Linked DNA regions of Arabidopsis thaliana. The protein of the gene in region 1 interacts with the protein of each later gene in a pairwise test. Each region holds a gene or a part of one and is shown in the gene's direction. Other genes may lie near its edges. The genes, in order: CHAL, FUT13, PIP2B and AT5G63710.

Region 1 (4,389 bases):
ATTTGAAAAAAAAATGTTGCTTGAAGAGTCTTCATCAGCGACGGTTTATGTTGGTGGAGATAAAGGGAAAAAACAACCAAAAATCGATGTTAATCCGAAAGAATGACCCCTTTACTAAGGCTATTACGGTTGAATATAGTGATTCTTTTTTATATAGATTTTAAATTGATGGTTATGTTTAAGTGATCAATCAACAATGGAAATTTCGCTTTCTTTCAAGGCTATCAGCTATGTTTTGGGGTTTCCAAATAACTTAATCAAGAAAAATAAAACAAAAAAAAATTGATATTGTCCGATCTAATATCACACAATCTTAAATGTACAAAAAAGCTTCTAAACCCACGTCAGAATTAATATTTCTCGACACATGATCAAAGAAATAATTTTAAGAGACATAGCCTTTAGTTATAACAAAATTATAGTTTAAGAATATAAAATGTAAATCAAAAACCTATATATATGTAAAGAACATATGGGATTTTGTTTAACATTTTATATTACTTCTCTTCATCTTAAGTTTCTTTCTAATGGACTAATGGTTATGTCACATTTTGAGCTCTATTTTTTTTTTTTTTTTGAACTCCGTTAATTGTAACAAAAAAAAAACTTTCAGATTTTGTTTTATAGAAACTTAAGGCGAGACAGCTTTGTTGGGCATGTTACCTTTGATTTCTTTCCCTCCACCAATCACAAAACTAGTATATTAGATATGATCATATGAACCATTAATTTTACACAATTTTTTCAGTTGTGGTTCACTATGTCCTCACGAACGTTCAATTGTATAGTTGTAATCAGACGTATTCTACCAACACTAGATATAATATTACCAATTCAACATAAAAATAAAATATTTGGTATTAGGATGATTATATTGTTGCATAATCTAGACCGCATAAAAATGGTATTGTCAAACGTAACAAGAAATTTTGAAGCATTGATATATGTACATTTGATAACCTATAAATTTTTCCAAAATATTAGTTTCTCTCATGCTTCATGCTAAAATCATTAAATATTTTGTTGTCTAATAGCTTTCTTTTAGAATTAAAAAAAAAAAAGAATTTACTAATCCCATTGTTAAAAGTTTATACTGCAACTTGTTTGCCATTTTTATATATATATTTAGTACCGTTTCAACAGTTATTGTTTTTTCTATTTATACTATTAAGAATCTTTAGTATATAACCTTTGCTTGAATTGATAGGAGTAAAAAGTTATTGTTAAAACTACATATATAAATGTGTAATTTAGGAATGAACATGGAACCCTTCTTACACATTTGTTGGGATGTTTTGTCCATACCTCCTTGCCTTTAGAATCAAACTCATATATCATCCTACGGCCCTCCCTTACTCATCTCTCTTCAAATCAATCACCTCTCATCTCTCTACCTTAATTATGATTTTTTTTTTTAAGTTTCTACCAAGCAGTCATTTCCCCCCCCCCCCCCCCAACAATAATAATAAACTAAGTGAAACCCTAATCTTGAGTACTTATGATATGTTAAACCCTACACACATGCATATGAAAGAACTTAATCAAGAAATATAACTACATATAAAATATACAATAGATAAACATATGAGTGTGTATGTGTATATATATGTATAGCTTGGAAGATTGCTAAAAGCAATTTCTGGTGAAAGGAAGGGTACAATGACAGAGAGAATAGGGTGCAGGAGAATCTAACTCCCAAACTTAGCAATGCTTAGGTACCTTTCTTAATTACTTCTCTCTTCTTACACTCTTTCTCTCATTTCCCACTCATATACTATTTTATCTTCTTATTTCTTTTCTTATTATCCTTTTATATATAAATTTCCATATTTAATCACACATTTTTGCAGTTAACCCCTCCTTGTTCTATCTCTCATAGTCGACTCCATTTGCTCTTTCTCACTCTCAACCACTCCCACTACTCACTCTCGTTTTTTGAGAAAACCCAAATCATAAAAACCAAAAGACATTCAATATTCCTTTTCAATAATCTTTTCTTGATTTCCATTTTCATCTCAAGTTTTTTAAAAACCCACCAAGTTTTTTTTTTCGCATGGATGAGGAGATCATAACTAATCTCTGCTAGCCTCTTCTTAGGTTTTCAGAAAGTTTCGTAATTATGGGTTTCGAGAGAACATCATCATCATTATCATTATTATCATCATCATTACCATCATCATTACAACCATCAGAAAACACGAGAGCCAAGTTCAGTCTCTTCTATTTATTGCTACTCTTCTTCGTCCTCTGTGTCATTGCCACCTTCACTATAACTCCCACTTCGACTTCTTCTCCATGTAAGCCATCTTTCTTTTTCTCGTTATCATATTAATTATCAACTTTCTCAAACATTAATATCTTAGAATATTTTTGGTTACGTAACATAAATTATTACAGTACCATTCATATATTATCTTGTTGTAAAAATGCAGATAATAGGAATTCTAACTCTGGGACACTAGGGAACTTCTATGCAAAGGTTCGTAAACTGTTTATACCTCTTACTCTCTTGCGTGATCTAACAAGTAACAATTGTTTTTGTTTTTTTGCTGTTGAGTCAACAATTAGTTAGGAAATAGGAATCAAAAACCGTGTTAACTTCCTTTTTTTTGGCATAACTATAACCACATAAAATCCAAAAAAAGCTTAGTTTCTATTTTCTCCTGATTCAAGCATCTTTGGAGGACAAGATTGATGTTGATTCATCATTAAACACACTTTAAAAATAATATAAGCTTTTTTTTTTTTTTCCATAAATAATATAAGCTTATAATGCGGGGTTCTCTAAAAGGACTACACAAACAAAAGGGTTGTGGCTAAACTGCGCTTGAACAGTCAGCGACTGTGACGGCATGTCGAGACTGACTGGGCATGCAGAGATGCCATGTACTCCTAAAGAAATTCTCAGCCGTCGGATTGGTTTCAGCGCACACGAGGACAAGGACAGTACTCAACTTTTGGTTCGTTCACCACTCGTGGGACCCTGCCTTGCTTACGATCTCGATCGAGTGGTAATATTAGCCCCCACGGTGCACGTTAACGTATGACAGGCTCTTGGAACTTCTCAATCTCTCTGCCCTTTTTGGTAATGTGCGTAGCGCTTTTTCCGGAGCGGTTTTCCCGCGTCTTGTCTCACATCCCCAACCCTGTCTTAAAAATGTTTTTTACCTAAACTGCGCATTTTAACAATAATATGCGTATGTCAGCATGAAATCGCACGTTAGTAACGCAGTCCTCTCACTATCTTATGTTGATAGCAGCTGAAATTGAGTTCACTAGAAGATACTAATTATTGAACGTTAATTAGAAAATACTAATTATTCTTGATTAACCATATTGTTTGGTTTGTTTTACTAGATGTATTATCCTAATGAAGAAAATAATAAATTAGGATATGTATACGTTTGAATATATATTTAGTAATGAAAAATGTGATAATATGTACGTTTTGAGTATGTGTTCAGGAGGAAGGCAAGAGTACCGTAGTGATAAAGAAGACTAGGAAGATCGGTGACCGGAGCAAGGAGGCAGAGCTACGGAGGATTCTAAGGGGATTGGGCTCATCTCCACCACGGTGCTCCTCCAAGTGTGGAAGATGCACTCCGTGCAAGCCTGTTCACGTTCCGGTGCCTCCCGGCACGCCTGTCACCGCCGAATACTACCCGGAAGCTTGGAGATGCAAGTGCGGCAACAAGTTGTACATGCCATGATCTTTTATAATATATATACTCACATATATACATTATATATATGAATTATATGCATGTTCGTAGTTATATCTTGCCTCTACTCCAAATATTTATTATACATTGACATGTTGCTAGGACAACCTCAACGTGAAACTTTTGCTGATAAATTGATTGATGATGCTCGTATAGACGATATGACGTTCTTAGCATATGATTTCGTATATGGTGACATAATTCATGAATAATATCAACATTTGGTGTCAAAAGGAAACATATTTCTTGTCTTCTTCTTCAACGTACTTGCTTATAATGAACAAAAAATAAAAAAACGTACTCGCTTTCTAATAAGTATCACATAGGTTTAGGCTCATAAACATATGGACTAACATAAATAAACCAAAAGCCCAATAACATTACTCTTAGCATATACATATAAGTAAACTATTAACATCTGTCTGCGGGACTCGTTGATTTCATTTAAATTCTGTAGTCTCAGCTCGTTCAATTTAATCTATTCGTACACACTGATAATATTCAAGAAAACATATGCTAACGTATAACGTATTACGTATCCAAATACACCTTACACCACTCACACATAGCCCATATATAAAAGTTTGAAGGATTTAAAGTCGCAGACTCGCGGTCATTTTTTTTCTTTAAAGTCGCAGTCATTGACTGACTGATTCTTCTTTCTTAT
Region 2 (4,480 bases), on another chromosome or scaffold:
ATCACTCTCTCTTTTGATGACATCGAAGCTAACTTCGGTGAGTCTCTTCCTTATCACTCTGTTTTCATTTCAGATTTTTGATGAATTGAATCTGTAATTGGGGTCAACGCATAAAAAAGAAGAGATTTTTAATCTGTTTCTTGCAACAGCTCCGTCAGTGAAGGGTACAGGTGAAATTGGAGTGGTTTATGTGGCTGAGCCTCTTGACGCTTGTCAAAATCTTATGAATAAACCAGAACAGAGCTCCAATGAAACTTCTCCTTTTGTGTTGATTGTTAGAGGAGGCTGTAGTTTTGAAGAGAAAGTTAGAAAAGCTCAGAGAGCTGGTTTCAAAGCTGCTATTATCTATGACAATGAAGACCGTGGAACATTGATAGCAAGTATGAAAATTTATGTCTTGATCTTGTGATTCTGTTGTTTCTACATTTTGCTGAAAGTTTTGAGATTTGCAGTGGCAGGTAACTCTGGAGGTATAAGGATTCATGCGGTCTTTGTTACGAAAGAAACGGGAGAAGTTTTAAAGGAGTATGCGGGTTTCCCCGATACGAAAGTTTGGTTGATCCCAAGTTTTGAGAACTCGGCGTGGTCTATTATGGCGGTTTCGTTTATCTCGCTGCTTGCAATGTCGGCTGTTCTCGCTACTTGTTTCTTTGTGCGTAGGCATCGAATAAGAAGGCGGACATCTCGGTCCTCTCGAGTGCGTGAGTTTCACGGTATGAGCCGCCGCTTGGTGAAAGCAATGCCGAGTCTTATATTCAGTTCGTTTCATGAAGATAACACTACTGCATTCACTTGTGCTATTTGCCTTGAAGACTACACTGTTGGAGACAAGCTCAGGCTCTTACCTTGCTGTCACAGTGAGTACATTGTATACAAAATCCTGTAACTCAGGGCACATTTGTTAGAACTTAGAACTAACTAACAATTTCTGATTCTGTTTTTGTGTGTATGTTTTCAGAGTTTCATGCTGCGTGTGTTGACTCATGGTTAACCTCTTGGAGAACTTTCTGTCCGGTGTGCAAACGAGATGCAAGAACGAGCACGGGAGAGCCTCCAGCTTCAGAGAGCACGCCATTGCTCTCATCTGCTGCATCGTCTTTCACTTCTTCCTCTCTGCACTCTTCAGTCAGATCATCTGCACTATTGATTGGTCCTTCCTTGGGCTCATTACCAACTTCAATCTCTTTCTCTCCCGCATACGCAAGCTCATCCTATATTAGACAATCATTCCAGTCTTCCTCTAACCGTCGATCACCTCCAATAAGCGTAAGTCGAAGCTCAGTGGATCTCAGACAACAAGCAGCTTCTCCATCTCCATCACCATCACAGAGATCATACATTTCCCATATGGCTTCTCCACAGTCACTAGGTTACCCAACTATCTCCCCTTTCAACACGAGGTACATGTCACCGTATAGACCTAGCCCGAGCAATGCATCACCTGCAATGGCTGGATCATCGAATTATCCGTTGAATCCACTGCGTTACAGTGAATCAGCTGGAACTTTCTCTCCATACGCCTCTGCAAACTCGCTTCCAGACTGTTAGAAAGTCTACAGAACCAACCACTCTTGGTTCAGGTCATATAAGATTATTTCTTTTGCATTTGAGTTTTACTACGAAACGTACTTCTGGCGTTTGTGTGTGGTGTGTGTGTGTGTAACGATGCTTTTATAGTCTTTTGGTTGAGATGAAACATCATCGGATTTAGGTTAGAGAGATTTTAACACTTCGACAATTACACAAACTCGGTTCCTTTGTACAAAGAAATATGAGCTTATGTATATACACGTCTCTTTCCTTGTTATTACTATCTGATCACTCTTATCTCTATCCGTTTGCATTGATACGATCCTATCTAGTAAATAGGCCCAGTAGGCCTAATTAAGGTCCAGTAACATAAACTGATTTGGGCTAAAGTGAATGAAGAAAACTCCATCCCACCGTTGGCCGGTCTATTCTCCTCCGGCGTCGTTGAGGATCTCCGGTGGTTTAAGGAATCAATCACACCATGCCAATGAGATACCTCAACGCAATGGCCGCTCTACTAATGATGTTCTTTACTCTCTTGATCCTCTCTTTCACAGGCATTTTAGAATTCCCATCTGCTTCAACTTCGATGGAGCATTCAATAGACCCGGAACCGAAATTGTCTGATTCAACATCGGATCCATTCAGTGATGTTCTTGTAGCTTATAAAAAATGGGACTTTGAAGTGGGTTGTGCTCGGTTTAGGGAGAATCATAAAGATGCGATTTTGGGTAATGTTAGTTCGGGTTCTTTACAAGAATTTGGTTGTGGTAAGCTTAAGATGAAGCATGTTAAGGTATTGGTTAAAGGGTGGACTTGGATTCCGGATAATTTGGAAAATTTGTATTCTTGTCGTTGTGGGATGACTTGTTTGTGGACTAAATCATCGGTTTTGGCTGATTCACCTGATGCTTTGTTGTTCGAGACAACAACTCCTCCACTACAGGTAATAAAATTGCTTGTTGCTAATCTTGTCAAAGTTTGCGTTTTGGAAAGTAGTTATAGATTTGGATGATTGGGACAGATTAGATCACACTGTCTGTTTTTTCTTACCCCAAATTGGATGTGATCTTGTGATGTATTCTTCACTCTAGCAGATCTTTTAGTTCTATGACTCACTAAAAGATACTTTTTCATTGTTGTCTATATGGTTCAAGAATTTTGGTTTGTAAAGTGGAAAATTTCAGAGTTTAATTGTCTACGTGAGCTTATTGTAAACCAGAAGAATCTTTGTGTACTGCTATTCTTGTTCTTAGTCAATTCATTTTTGAAAGTTGGACATAGATATGGATAATAAAGGCAAACTAAAATCTCCTATGTTCTTATTTTCCCTTCAGTGCCTGCTTCACTATAGTTTTCTTTCAATAATTGGATCCCATTGATGCTGAGTTTCTTGGTTTGTTTCCTTAGAGACGTGTTGGAGATCCGCTCCGTGTGTACATGGAGCTAGAGGCCGGAAGAAAACGCTCAGGCCGTGAAGATATATTCATCAGCTACCATGCGAAAGACGATGTCCAAACAACTTACGCCGGTTCGCTCTTTCATAATAACAGAAACTATCACATCTCTCCACATAAAAACAATGTAAGTAACGTTTTATACACCCATTCCATACTGTTCTTCTTTCATTTCATCGTTTTTTAATTCGATTGTTAAACATTGCACAGGATGTTCTGGTGTATTGGTCTTCCTCAAGATGCCTCCCTCACAGAGATCGTCTAGCAAAGAGCCTACTCGATTTGATTCCCCACCACTCCTTTGGTAAGTGTCTTAACAATGTTGGTGGCTTGGACTCAGCTCTCTCTATGTATCCAGAATGTGTCGCTGAGCACAACGCTGAAGCAAAATGGTACGATCACCTCCACTGCGCTATGTCACACTACAAATTCGTCCTTGCAATCGAAAACACAGCTGTTGAGTCATACGTGACCGAGAAGCTTTTCTATGCGCTCGACTCTGGTTCTGTTCCAATCTATTTTGGGGCCTCTAACGTGCAAGACTTTGTCCCTCCGCATTCCGTGATCGATGGTAGCAAATTCGGCTCGATGCAGGAGTTGGCTGCGTACGTGAAGCGGCTCGGTGATGATCCTGTGGCTTACTCAGAGTACCATGCGTGGAGGCGGTGTGGACTAATGGGGAACTACGGGAAAACCCGTGCGGTGAGTCTCGATACATTGCCATGTCGGTTGTGCGAAGAGATTAGCAGAAGAGGTGGGAAGAACGCCGGAGTTTGATGAGCCACATGTGGTTTCATTTAGTGTGGGTTTATGTAAATGTGATCCTATGATCTGTTTCTGTTACATATGATAACTTTTTTGTCCTATATAGTCTCAGATCATCAAGTAAATGCTATCAAATCATGTGTTCAAGGGACAAAAACAGAATTATTCACTTATGTTAGAGTTAAATGGGATCTCTTGGTGTAGCTTTTCCTTAATCAAAAATTCAAAATAGATTATGATTGTGATTGTGTAGACTAAGTTAAAAAGGACAAAAATCAAGTCATAACCACTTTCCTATATTTACCTACAATAATCAGAATCATTTAAAACTTATCAAAACTAAAACCATTCAAAATATTGGGTGAATTAAAGTTTCGATTGTTTCAAAACGTCTGTATAAGTATGACAAAGAGACATCAAAATTCAGATTATTGTCACATTTTTATCACCGTAAAATCTTAGAAGAAAGAAAGATAATTTTTTTTTTTTTTTTTTAATGATAATCAAAGATATTATGTTAGTAGTAAAATAGAGAATGGAAAAAATAAATTAATTACATAGACAAACGTGTAGGTCATAAAATCATTTGGTACATCAAATTCATACATGGGTCTTCTGGTATTATCTATTAACAGCTTTAGGAAAGAAATATGAGATCAGATTTTTAGGCTAATCAAACAAAATTTTCTATAAAACCATCATATACATAACAAATATGCACAAGAAGT
Region 3 (4,094 bases), 2.7 Mb from region 1:
ATGGTATTTTAGGTCATTTTGTATAATAAGTTAAATAACGCATAAATACGTAATTTATTTGAGACTTAACTTTTTCGGTGTAAGCTGAGTGTTAAATCTGTCATAGGACACTACAATCAAATTATAACTCTATATATACTCCATCGACTATATATTGACTCAACATATCATGATAGAATTACATATGAGTCAGATGTAATTTTATGATCTGTTATTGTGGATTCATTGTTAGCAAGCATATATATACGTGTGTTCAGAAGACTAAAAAATTTACTATGAAATGAAAGAACATTTATTTGTTTGGAACAAAAAATGTTTATCATAACAAATTAACCCATTTTTCCACAGAGAACAATACCATTCGTAACCAATATCGAGTAGACAATTCTTTAACAAAACAGAAAGCGACAAAGATGAAAGAAAACAAAAATAAAACCAGGGGAGAGACCGAGAGAGAGAGAGCACCTTTCTGACGTGGAAATATAATCCAATAAGAGCAGAGAAATGTCGCTACAACGATAAGGATATTGTGACGTGGCAAAACATTGGCCATGAACACCACATTACACCACATTCCTTTTGTCTATGTACACTTTTTATTTTTCCAATTTATTTTTGTAGACAGACTAGTGATTAGTGAATACTGAATAATATACGTAAGAAAATTGCAATTGGAAATTTGGAATTGAGGAGTGAGAGCAAATGATTGTTGAATATGGGGACTAAACAACGTGGCATAAGAGGAGTGGTTGGGACGGCTGAACTGGAGTTGGACTTAATCTGTATGGACGGTGCCGATGCAATTGACGGAGCTAATCAATTCTATATGGGGCGGTTTCTCCGGTCCAGTGGACCCAACTTTCATCATATTTTCTACTTTAGTGGAAACATAACCCGTGAAGCGACGCCGTTTCTTTTATCATGTCCATGTGATAAATTATGTTTTTGTTATATGGTAGGGTTAGCTGAGAGCTATCAAAAGACTCTTTTTTATCCACCTAATAGATTTGATTTGTAACGTTAAGAGCATAGGAAGTCAATTTAATCGTTACTAATTACATGCATAAGAACTAGTATAACTATATAAGGAGCTCCTTCTAGAAATTAAATGAAGGATGATAGAATCTAGATAATCAGAAATTTTACTATTGATCAATCTAGCTATCTCGTAGTTCAAAAAGCTTTATCGTTAACAAGTAACAACTTTCAAGTATTGCCCAAATAGATAAGGTTCATAACTTCATATTTTTTATTTATTTTATGTGTAAAAGAGTGACAGTCTATATTATTCTAGGGGGAGGACAAGGCTCATGACATAGGACAAGAGAAAGAAAAATATAGAAGCATATAGTATATTAGGGTCGGTCCAAATGAAAACAACGTTTAGGTATGGGGCGGCGAGGCTAAGTTAAATTAACCACAAAACTCCATTATCAACCATAATTTTAGAATTAAAAGGTCTCTGTTCCTATTGATAGCTCCACAATCATTCTTTTAAATAATCAGAATCTCAAATAAGTTCATCTTTAGTTACAGATTTGTATCAATAGTTGAAGTTGAAACCAAAATAATAATAATTTAGTTATAGTTAATTTTGTCAACAAAACAATACCTTAACTATCATATTATGACAAACACTAATTGAGATGAAAAACTCTTAGCAGTAGCTAATTCTTACTATCATCAGTTAATTATACTAATGTATATGGAAATTCTGCTTAAACAAAAAAAAAACAGTGGAACATGAATATATTAAGCAAAATCAGTTTCTATTGATTATGTAGCAATGATTAGATTGGTTTAGATTATATATCATCATGACAGCTAGCTAGGTAATTAATTAGTGAAAGAAAGTTTCCACAAAAATAATCATAATCGTCATACACACAATTCTATATTCATTTCATTGAAACGAATAATAAAAACAACCATAAGCCTACCAAAAGGAAAACATTATCGTAATATAATCAATCAATAACACGTATACAATTATTAACGTATATTGACAAGCAAAATTAATGAGAGCACTCACTATAGCTATAGTCTCTCTATATAAACAACTTTCATTCGTCTCTTCAGTCTTCACAAACACAACATATCCACAATACAAAACACAACTTTCATATATAACAAAAAAAGTTATAGAAATGGCCAAAGACGTGGAAGGACCTGAGGGATTTCAGACAAGAGACTACGAAGATCCGCCACCAACTCCGTTTTTCGATGCGGACGAGCTTACCAAGTGGTCTTTATACAGAGCCGTCATTGCCGAGTTCGTAGCCACTCTCCTCTTCTTGTACATCACCGTTTTAACTGTCATCGGTTACAAGATTCAGTCCGACACAAAAGCCGGTGGAGTTGACTGCGGCGGCGTCGGAATCCTTGGCATCGCGTGGGCTTTTGGTGGCATGATCTTCATCCTTGTCTACTGCACCGCCGGTATCTCAGGTATCATATATCGAAACCGGTCCGGTTTATTACCCGGTTCAGAAAATTTAACATTTGTGGACCTTTCAAATTTGTCCTTTGTTTTGTAATTTATTTGAAATTAACCCCAAGAACTTTGTAGGTGGTCACATAAACCCTGCGGTGACGTTTGGTTTGTTCTTAGCCCGGAAGGTATCGCTGATTAGGGCGGTGCTTTACATGGTGGCTCAGTGTTTGGGTGCTATTTGTGGAGTTGGTTTCGTCAAAGCCTTTCAAAGCTCTTACTATGATCGTTACGGTGGAGGAGCCAACTCTCTAGCAGACGGCTACAACACAGGCACCGGACTAGCCGCAGAGATCATTGGAACATTCGTTCTCGTCTACACAGTCTTCTCCGCTACTGATCCCAAACGTAACGCTAGAGACTCCCACGTTCCGGTTAGTATTTATTTCTATCAGTTATAAGATCGTTCTGGTAACATACGATAACATTAATTAATACTTAGTGTTATGAATTATGAAACGAAAGGTTTTGGCGCCACTTCCGATTGGGTTTGCGGTGTTTATGGTACATTTGGCCACTATTCCGATCACCGGAACCGGCATCAACCCGGCTAGGAGTTTCGGAGCTGCCGTAATCTATAACAAGAGCAAGCCATGGGATGACCACGTACGTTTCTATTTCTTAATTATTTAAAATTAATCAAATTATGGACTATTGTTTGATGGGAAAATAATGAACTGTTTTTTTGGTCTATCTAAATACAGTGGATATTCTGGGTGGGACCATTCATTGGAGCTGCGATAGCTGCATTTTATCACCAATTTGTCCTAAGGGCTTCAGGTTCCAAGTCACTTGGATCCTTCAGAAGTGCAGCCAACGTTTGAGTTTTTGCCACACAAAAAAAAACCTATCATAATAACAACAATTACAAAATGGTTGTGTTATTATGTATGTACAAAAATTGGCAACTTTGCTTGTAAAACTATGCACTATATTTCTTCTTGTTTTTCTGTTTTCATTGTGGTGTAATACTTTGATATGTGCCAATGCCAATGTTTGTGTACTCGGGAAAACAATTAATGAAAACCAAATTGTTTTGCCTTCTCCTCCCTCTTTTTATTTTATACAGATGATATTACCAGCTAAAAGCATATCTACATAGACTACATTAATAGTTATAATTTATAAGTTCATGTGATTTAAATTATCCTCCACTGAAGAGGATTAAGACAGAACAAAAACTTATGTGTTTGGCACTTTTTTGTCAGCTTGTCGCCATCACCTAATTAAACAACAACTAAAGCACAAGTCAATTGGTAAGATCGTCTCAAATTCAATTAATCTACACCAAAAACGAATTTTGTTGAACACTTAGTTTTGAGTTGACATTCCACTCACTAGTTTAAGCTCATAGAATTTGTAACGAGAGCTTACGCAGGAAAGCTGTTGGTTCAACAACTAATTTGCGTCACTTTACTTAAAGTATACAAACGTCATTTTCAGAAATAACAATATCAAGAAGAGCGTGAACAAAATATTAAAAACCTATAGATGGTCATACAGACAAAAACTTCGAAATTTCTTTAATCCAATGTAGATTATCCAAAAAATGTGCCTCAAGACCAAAATCAGGGTTTTACATAAATCGAAACAATAATAGGAA
Region 4 (5,738 bases), on another chromosome or scaffold:
ATCGCTCTCTCTCTCTCGATCCGATGTTACTTGGCGGTGACCTAGTTAGTGGCGACAGAGCAAGAAGAAGAAAAACTTATCTCTCTAATTCTGATATTAAGGCTGAAAATTAGCCAAATAAATAGCTGTTTGAGTGACCTGTGTCAGTATTACTAGATTCTTAAGGATTCGCTTTGACCAATCACCCAAACGCCAACCTCTACTTTCCTAAAGTCTCTATTATACCCCTATCGTATCCAGGACACGTGTCCATTAAACACAGTTTCATAGGGGTTATTTCGTAAATTGAATAAGTCTTGCGTTCAGATGGACCTTTTTTTTTTACTTAGCGATTGCGTTTTGTGACCGGGAAGTACAATGCTCGCAAGTACAAAAGATATCGAACCAAGTTTTGTCTTTACCTAAATTTTGGATTATAAGTGATATTTGTTGTTAAAATTAATTTACTAATTATAACATTTTTATGAACAAATCATTTACAAGTTATAAGATTTTAATAAGTAAGAAAAGTAATCTGGCATTTGGTTTCACAATGTTCAAATTTATCTTTCTTTCTTTTTTTTTTGCTCTGAAGGCTTTTTTCTCACTTACCTAAGTTCATTTTTTCCTGATAAAAATAGAAAATAAATTTGAGTTTGTTTTATTTGTGAATGTTGATGAAATTTAACTTTTGAAATATACGTTCTAGATTGAGATATGATCATCAGATCTTTTTGCAGATCGAACAAAAGTCTCAATAAGGTGAAGAATCGTATGACAACATATAAAGGGAGGAGCATAAGAACATGTCCAACTAATCAAGCATATTAGTATTGATATCATTATTCCGTATATATTCTTAGTCTCTTCTTCCTCACATTATGTTCTCTTTCTCTTTTCTTCACCTAATTTTCCTATTAAAAATATCTATCTTTTTTTCTCTTCTGCCTACATTTCTACATGATGTTTCAACATAGCTCTTAAGGGAAATAACCTAAAGTTTTCTAAACATTGATGTTTTACTACGTCTTTTTTGAAAGGCGGTAACTAAATTTGTTTTTTTTTTTGTTTTTTAAAAGGATATCAAAAGATCAATTACTTACCTTATAAATGTTAAAAATGTAAACTTCTCAATGTTTGAATTTATTTACTCAAAAACAGATAGTTAAATATATATATATATATATATAGTTATAGGTTATGTTAAAACTATTTTAGTTTGTATCATATCCTTTGATTTGAAGGTCAGAGAAGAAAGGAATATATACAAAAACGCCCTTTTGCATTGTCATCGTCCAGAATAGTGGAGTAATATAACACGAACAAGTGGAAGTGTGGAACCTTCTTACACATGCTTCTGTCTCTTCCTAAAGCATAAGCCATTTTCCCAAACATTATTAAGTTCTTAATTAAGTCATTGGTTTGTTTTCTATTACTAATTCGTTTAAATCATTCTTTATTACTTTATGTTTATTTTGGGCCATCTATATCCTTTTTTGTTAAAATTGATATCCTTTTTAGCCCCAATCACATCCCAAGTTACACACTTGCAAAAGAGATCTCACCCAAAATAAAGAAGCAAAAGAAGATGGAAAAATACACCTCCATTAAGAAATCAAAGATGTTTCAACTTAGTGGGATTCTCTTTCTCTCAAAGCAGCATTTCTTCATCTTCTTTTTACATCATAGAGATAAAAATATGAAAAATACCTTTTGTGGGTCCTTTATAAGCACTAACTTCTCTTTCTTTAGATGATTTTACATTATTGTTGCTTTTATTGGCTTCATTATTATACAAATCCTCCATTTCTCTCTTCAACCCCATGTTTTCGTTCTCTTCCGTTTAGAGTGTTTTCAGCTCCTCTATGGCTCACTCGGGTATTTAAAAGCTTTGTTTTACTTATACTTTAATGCCTATCTTTCTCCATTGTATATTAATTAGGTTTCTTGGTTTTTGTTGTTTATTTTACATAACTTTATTGTTTCTTTTAGTTTCGAGTTACAAAATATTTGGTACATATTTAGGTGAAACGGAGAGGTTTTTGATCATCAAAGCAAAGAGTCAAAGACAGAATTATAAATTTTGTTGTTCTTGATACTTATAAGCTTTCATTTTTCTTAATGTTTTCGGTTCAAATGAGCTCTGATAGAGGAGTTATGGATTGATCTGACAATGTTTCACATCAGAAAGCAATCAAAGCTGTTAGTTTTTAAGACATAATTAGACCCACAAATCGGTCTTTTCTTTTCTTTGCTTTCTTATGTTTAGTTAACATAGTTTGATCACACAAGTTATGTGTTTCTTGTATAGTAAGTTAACTTTCTCCATCGATTTGCTGCAATTTAGACTATAGATTCTGCAGCAGAAAAGAAAAGCTGTTTAAACTGAGATTGACTGATTTAATAAACTGCAGGGAACGGTGAAAGTTTCCATGATCCTCTTCGAGGATTCATTCAAAGAAATTGCTTTAGATGGAACAATCAGAAATTGATCTTACAATGTTTCATGGCCTTAGCTTTTGTGGGAATCACTTCGTCAACAACTCAACCAGATATCGAAGGTCTATATATAATTAGCCTTTGTTTATAAATCATTAATGATCTTGTAGTATTAACTCGCTTCTTGATTCATTTGCTAGGAGGAGCTCTGTTGCAGCTCAGAGATTCGCTTAATGATTCGAGCAATCGTCTAAAATGGACACGCGATTTTGTGAGCCCTTGCTATAGTTGGTCTTATGTTACCTGCAGAGGCCAGAGTGTTGTGGCTCTGTAAGTACTCTTAAAGATCACTTCTCAAGTTTTAGTTACCAAGATTTCTCATCATGTTGAAAAACTTGTTTTGTATCAATCTGTAGAAATCTTGCCTCGAGTGGATTCACAGGAACACTCTCTCCAGCTATTACAAAACTGAAGTTCTTGGTTACCTTGTAAGAGATCATAAACCAATTCCATTACAAGTTTCTTTTTAGGTTCCATTACTCATAGTAATTGTTCTTGATGCAGAGAGTTACAGAACAATAGTTTATCTGGTGCCTTACCAGATTCTCTTGGGAACATGGTTAATCTACAGACTTTAAACCTATCAGTGAATAGTTTCAGCGGATCGATACCAGCGAGCTGGAGTCAGCTCTCGAATCTAAAGCACTTGTAAGTCCACTCAAAAACTCTTTAGGAACAATCTTTGAAATGTGACTCTGTGAGAGCGTTTGGCTAAGATAAAACATTGAAATTTAATTCACAGGGATCTCTCATCCAATAATTTAACAGGAAGCATCCCAACACAATTCTTCTCAATCCCAACATTCGAGTAAAAAAAACTATTTTCCTCATGAATCTACCTAATTAGTCACAGTGACTTGTCAGTACTATAATCACGTTTTTGTGATTTTTCTGCAGTTTTTCAGGAACTCAGCTTATATGCGGTAAAAGTTTGAATCAGCCTTGTTCTTCAAGTTCTCGTCTTCCAGGTTCTTAATTATTTCTTCTTTCTCCAATTCACATACAAACAGAAAGACTTAACTTAGTATCTTTATGTTCAGTCACATCCTCCAAGAAAAAGCTGAGAGACATTACTTTGACTGCAAGTTGTGTTGCTTCTATAATCTTATTCCTTGGAGCAATGGTTATGTATCATCACCATCGCGTCCGCAGAACCAAATACGACATCTTTTTTGATGTAGCTGGTAAGAAGTTACATATACTTATAGTCAAACATCTCATTAGATCAATATGAACTCTTGAGCCAATATCCTTTTTCCTTAAAAAATGCAGGGGAAGATGACAGGAAGATTTCCTTTGGACAACTAAAACGATTCTCTTTACGTGAAATCCAGCTCGCAACAGATAGTTTCAACGAGAGCAATTTGATAGGACAAGGAGGATTTGGTAAAGTATACAGAGGTTTGCTTCCAGACAAAACAAAAGTTGCAGTGAAACGCCTTGCGGATTACTTCAGTCCTGGAGGAGAAGCTGCTTTCCAAAGAGAGATTCAGCTCATAAGCGTTGCGGTTCATAAAAATCTCTTACGCCTTATTGGCTTCTGCACAACTTCCTCTGAGAGAATCCTTGTTTATCCATACATGGAAAATCTTAGTGTTGCATATCGACTAAGAGGTATATATACTTAGCTTCTCTATCACTTAACCAAATAATAGATTCTATAATGTGTGTGTACATATGTGACATTGTAGATTTGAAAGCGGGAGAGGAAGGATTAGACTGGCCAACAAGGAAGCGTGTAGCTTTTGGTTCAGCTCACGGTTTAGAGTATCTACACGAACATTGTAACCCGAAGATCATACACCGCGATCTCAAGGCTGCAAACATACTTTTAGACAACAATTTTGAGCCAGTTCTTGGAGATTTCGGTTTAGCTAAGCTTGTGGACACATCTCTGACTCATGTCACAACTCAAGTCCGAGGCACAATGGGTCACATTGCGCCAGAGTATCTCTGCACAGGAAAATCATCTGAAAAAACCGATGTTTTTGGTTACGGTATAACGCTTCTTGAGCTTGTTACTGGTCAGCGCGCAATCGATTTTTCACGCTTGGAAGAAGAGGAAAATATTCTCTTGCTTGATCATGTAAGATTGACTTCTTTTACATGCTTTCTTCTATCTGAAAAGACTTGAAACTAATCTTAAGTTGTTGGATGTGTATGAAACAGATAAAGAAGTTGCTTAGAGAACAGAGACTTAGAGACATTGTTGATAGCAATTTGACTACATATGACTCCAAAGAAGTTGAAACAATCGTTCAAGTGGCTCTTCTCTGCACACAAGGCTCACCAGAAGATAGACCAGCGATGTCTGAAGTGGTCAAAATGCTTCAAGGGACTGGTGGTTTGGCTGAGAAATGGACTGAATGGGAACAACTTGAAGAAGTTAGGAACAAAGAAGCATTGTTGCTTCCGACTTTACCGGCTACTTGGGATGAAGAAGAAACCACCGTTGATCAAGAATCTATCCGATTATCGACAGCAAGATGAAGAAGAAACAGAGAGAGAAAGATATCTATGAAAACAAACTTGCATTACAGAAGATAAACTTAGAAAGTATTTTAAGCTGCTAATTGTATTGAACCAGGTGGGGAAAACGAAGCAAACACACAACGTTGATTTGTGTAATAGATGATATGATATACATAACTAGTTGTGTTTTGTATATATATGAATTTGGTTATTTTCGTATGATAATGATGATCATGGTTGTTATGGTGGCAGTGTTTGCTCTGTTTTTCTACATACGTCGTCGTTTCGTGTGTGTCCCGTAAAAATTATAAACTTCTGAATCCAGTCCTTGAAGTTTAGTTGGTTTTTCAATTTTACCTTCAACTTTTGTATTCTAACAATTTACCCCACTTGTGACATTGTTTATGGCTAATTTTACGTCGAGTATTCTTGTTTTTTTCTGCACGTCGAGTATTCTTGTTTCTAGATTGTAAATGATGTACTATCAAGAAAACTAATTGTCCAGTCTATGTATCTCATGAAATTATTAGACTAGTGATTTATTGGAAGGGATGATACAGTGACAGAACAAAACAAATCTAGATGTTTTTGTTGTAGTGACATGGATTCAGAGTGTAGATTCATAAGAACAGAACTTTCATGGATTAAGATTTATTCTTAAACTCTAGATCCTCTGGTATTAAAATACAGATTGTTAATTTTGGTGTTGTGTACTTTGGGTGCGTTAAATGAAGGATGAGGCAAGGAATGGGACCGGAGACAGACGTAAGCGGTCAGTGAAAAAGAGA

What was found.
Region 2: the proteins of CHAL (region 1) and FUT13 interact in a protein complementation assay, tested with the Arabidopsis thaliana proteins (one large-scale study listed by BioGRID).
Region 3: the proteins of CHAL (region 1) and PIP2B interact in a protein complementation assay, tested with the Arabidopsis thaliana proteins (one large-scale study listed by BioGRID).
Region 4: the proteins of CHAL (region 1) and AT5G63710 interact in a protein complementation assay, tested with the Arabidopsis thaliana proteins (one large-scale study listed by BioGRID).

The regions. Positions count from the first base shown.
Region 1 is NC_003071.7:12,939,898-12,944,286, reverse strand, and holds CHAL (allergen-like protein), read left to right. Parts: upstream 1-1,877; 5' UTR 1,878-2,097; coding exon of another isoform or gene 2,098-2,119; coding exon 2,120-2,297; intron 2,298-2,432; coding exon 2,433-2,525; intron 2,526-2,835; coding exon 2,836-3,011; intron 3,012-3,464; coding exon 3,465-3,710; 3' UTR 3,711-3,832; downstream 3,833-4,389. UniProt on the Arabidopsis thaliana protein: Acts primarily as positive regulator of inflorescence growth. Endodermal expression is sufficient for proper inflorescence architecture. Redundantly involved with EPFL4 in procambial development regulation.
Region 2 is NC_003070.9:27,098,334-27,102,813, forward strand, and holds FUT13 (fucosyltransferase 13), read left to right. Parts: upstream 1-1,876; 5' UTR 1,877-2,011; coding exon 2,012-2,476; intron 2,477-2,940; coding exon 2,941-3,114; intron 3,115-3,197; coding exon 3,198-3,764; 3' UTR 3,765-3,959; downstream 3,960-4,480. Other genes in the region: AT1G71980 (Protease-associated (PA) RING/U-box zinc finger family protein), read left to right, coding at 1-37, 150-380, 453-857, 959-1,548. UniProt on the Arabidopsis thaliana protein: May be involved in cell wall synthesis. Catalyzes alpha-1,4 glycosidic linkages and generates Lewis-a epitopes.
Region 3 is NC_003071.7:15,612,845-15,616,938, reverse strand, and holds PIP2B (plasma membrane intrinsic protein 2), read left to right. Parts: upstream 1-1,916; 5' UTR 1,917-2,018; coding exon 2,019-2,448; intron 2,449-2,569; coding exon 2,570-2,865; intron 2,866-2,956; coding exon 2,957-3,097; intron 3,098-3,195; coding exon 3,196-3,315; 3' UTR 3,316-3,571; downstream 3,572-4,094.
Region 4 is NC_003076.8:25,497,631-25,503,368, forward strand, and holds AT5G63710 (Leucine-rich repeat protein kinase family protein), read left to right. Parts: upstream 1-1,880; 5' UTR 1,881-2,273; coding exon 2,274-2,289; intron 2,290-2,302; exon of another isoform or gene 2,303-2,393; coding exon 2,394-2,540; intron 2,541-2,618; coding exon 2,619-2,748; intron 2,749-2,834; coding exon 2,835-2,906; intron 2,907-2,982; coding exon 2,983-3,126; intron 3,127-3,220; coding exon 3,221-3,286; intron 3,287-3,375; coding exon 3,376-3,446; intron 3,447-3,518; coding exon 3,519-3,662; intron 3,663-3,750; coding exon 3,751-4,092; intron 4,093-4,169; coding exon 4,170-4,564; intron 4,565-4,647; coding exon 4,648-4,968; 3' UTR 4,969-5,201; downstream 5,202-5,738. Other genes in the region: AT5G63700 (zinc ion binding / DNA binding protein), read right to left, coding at 1-2.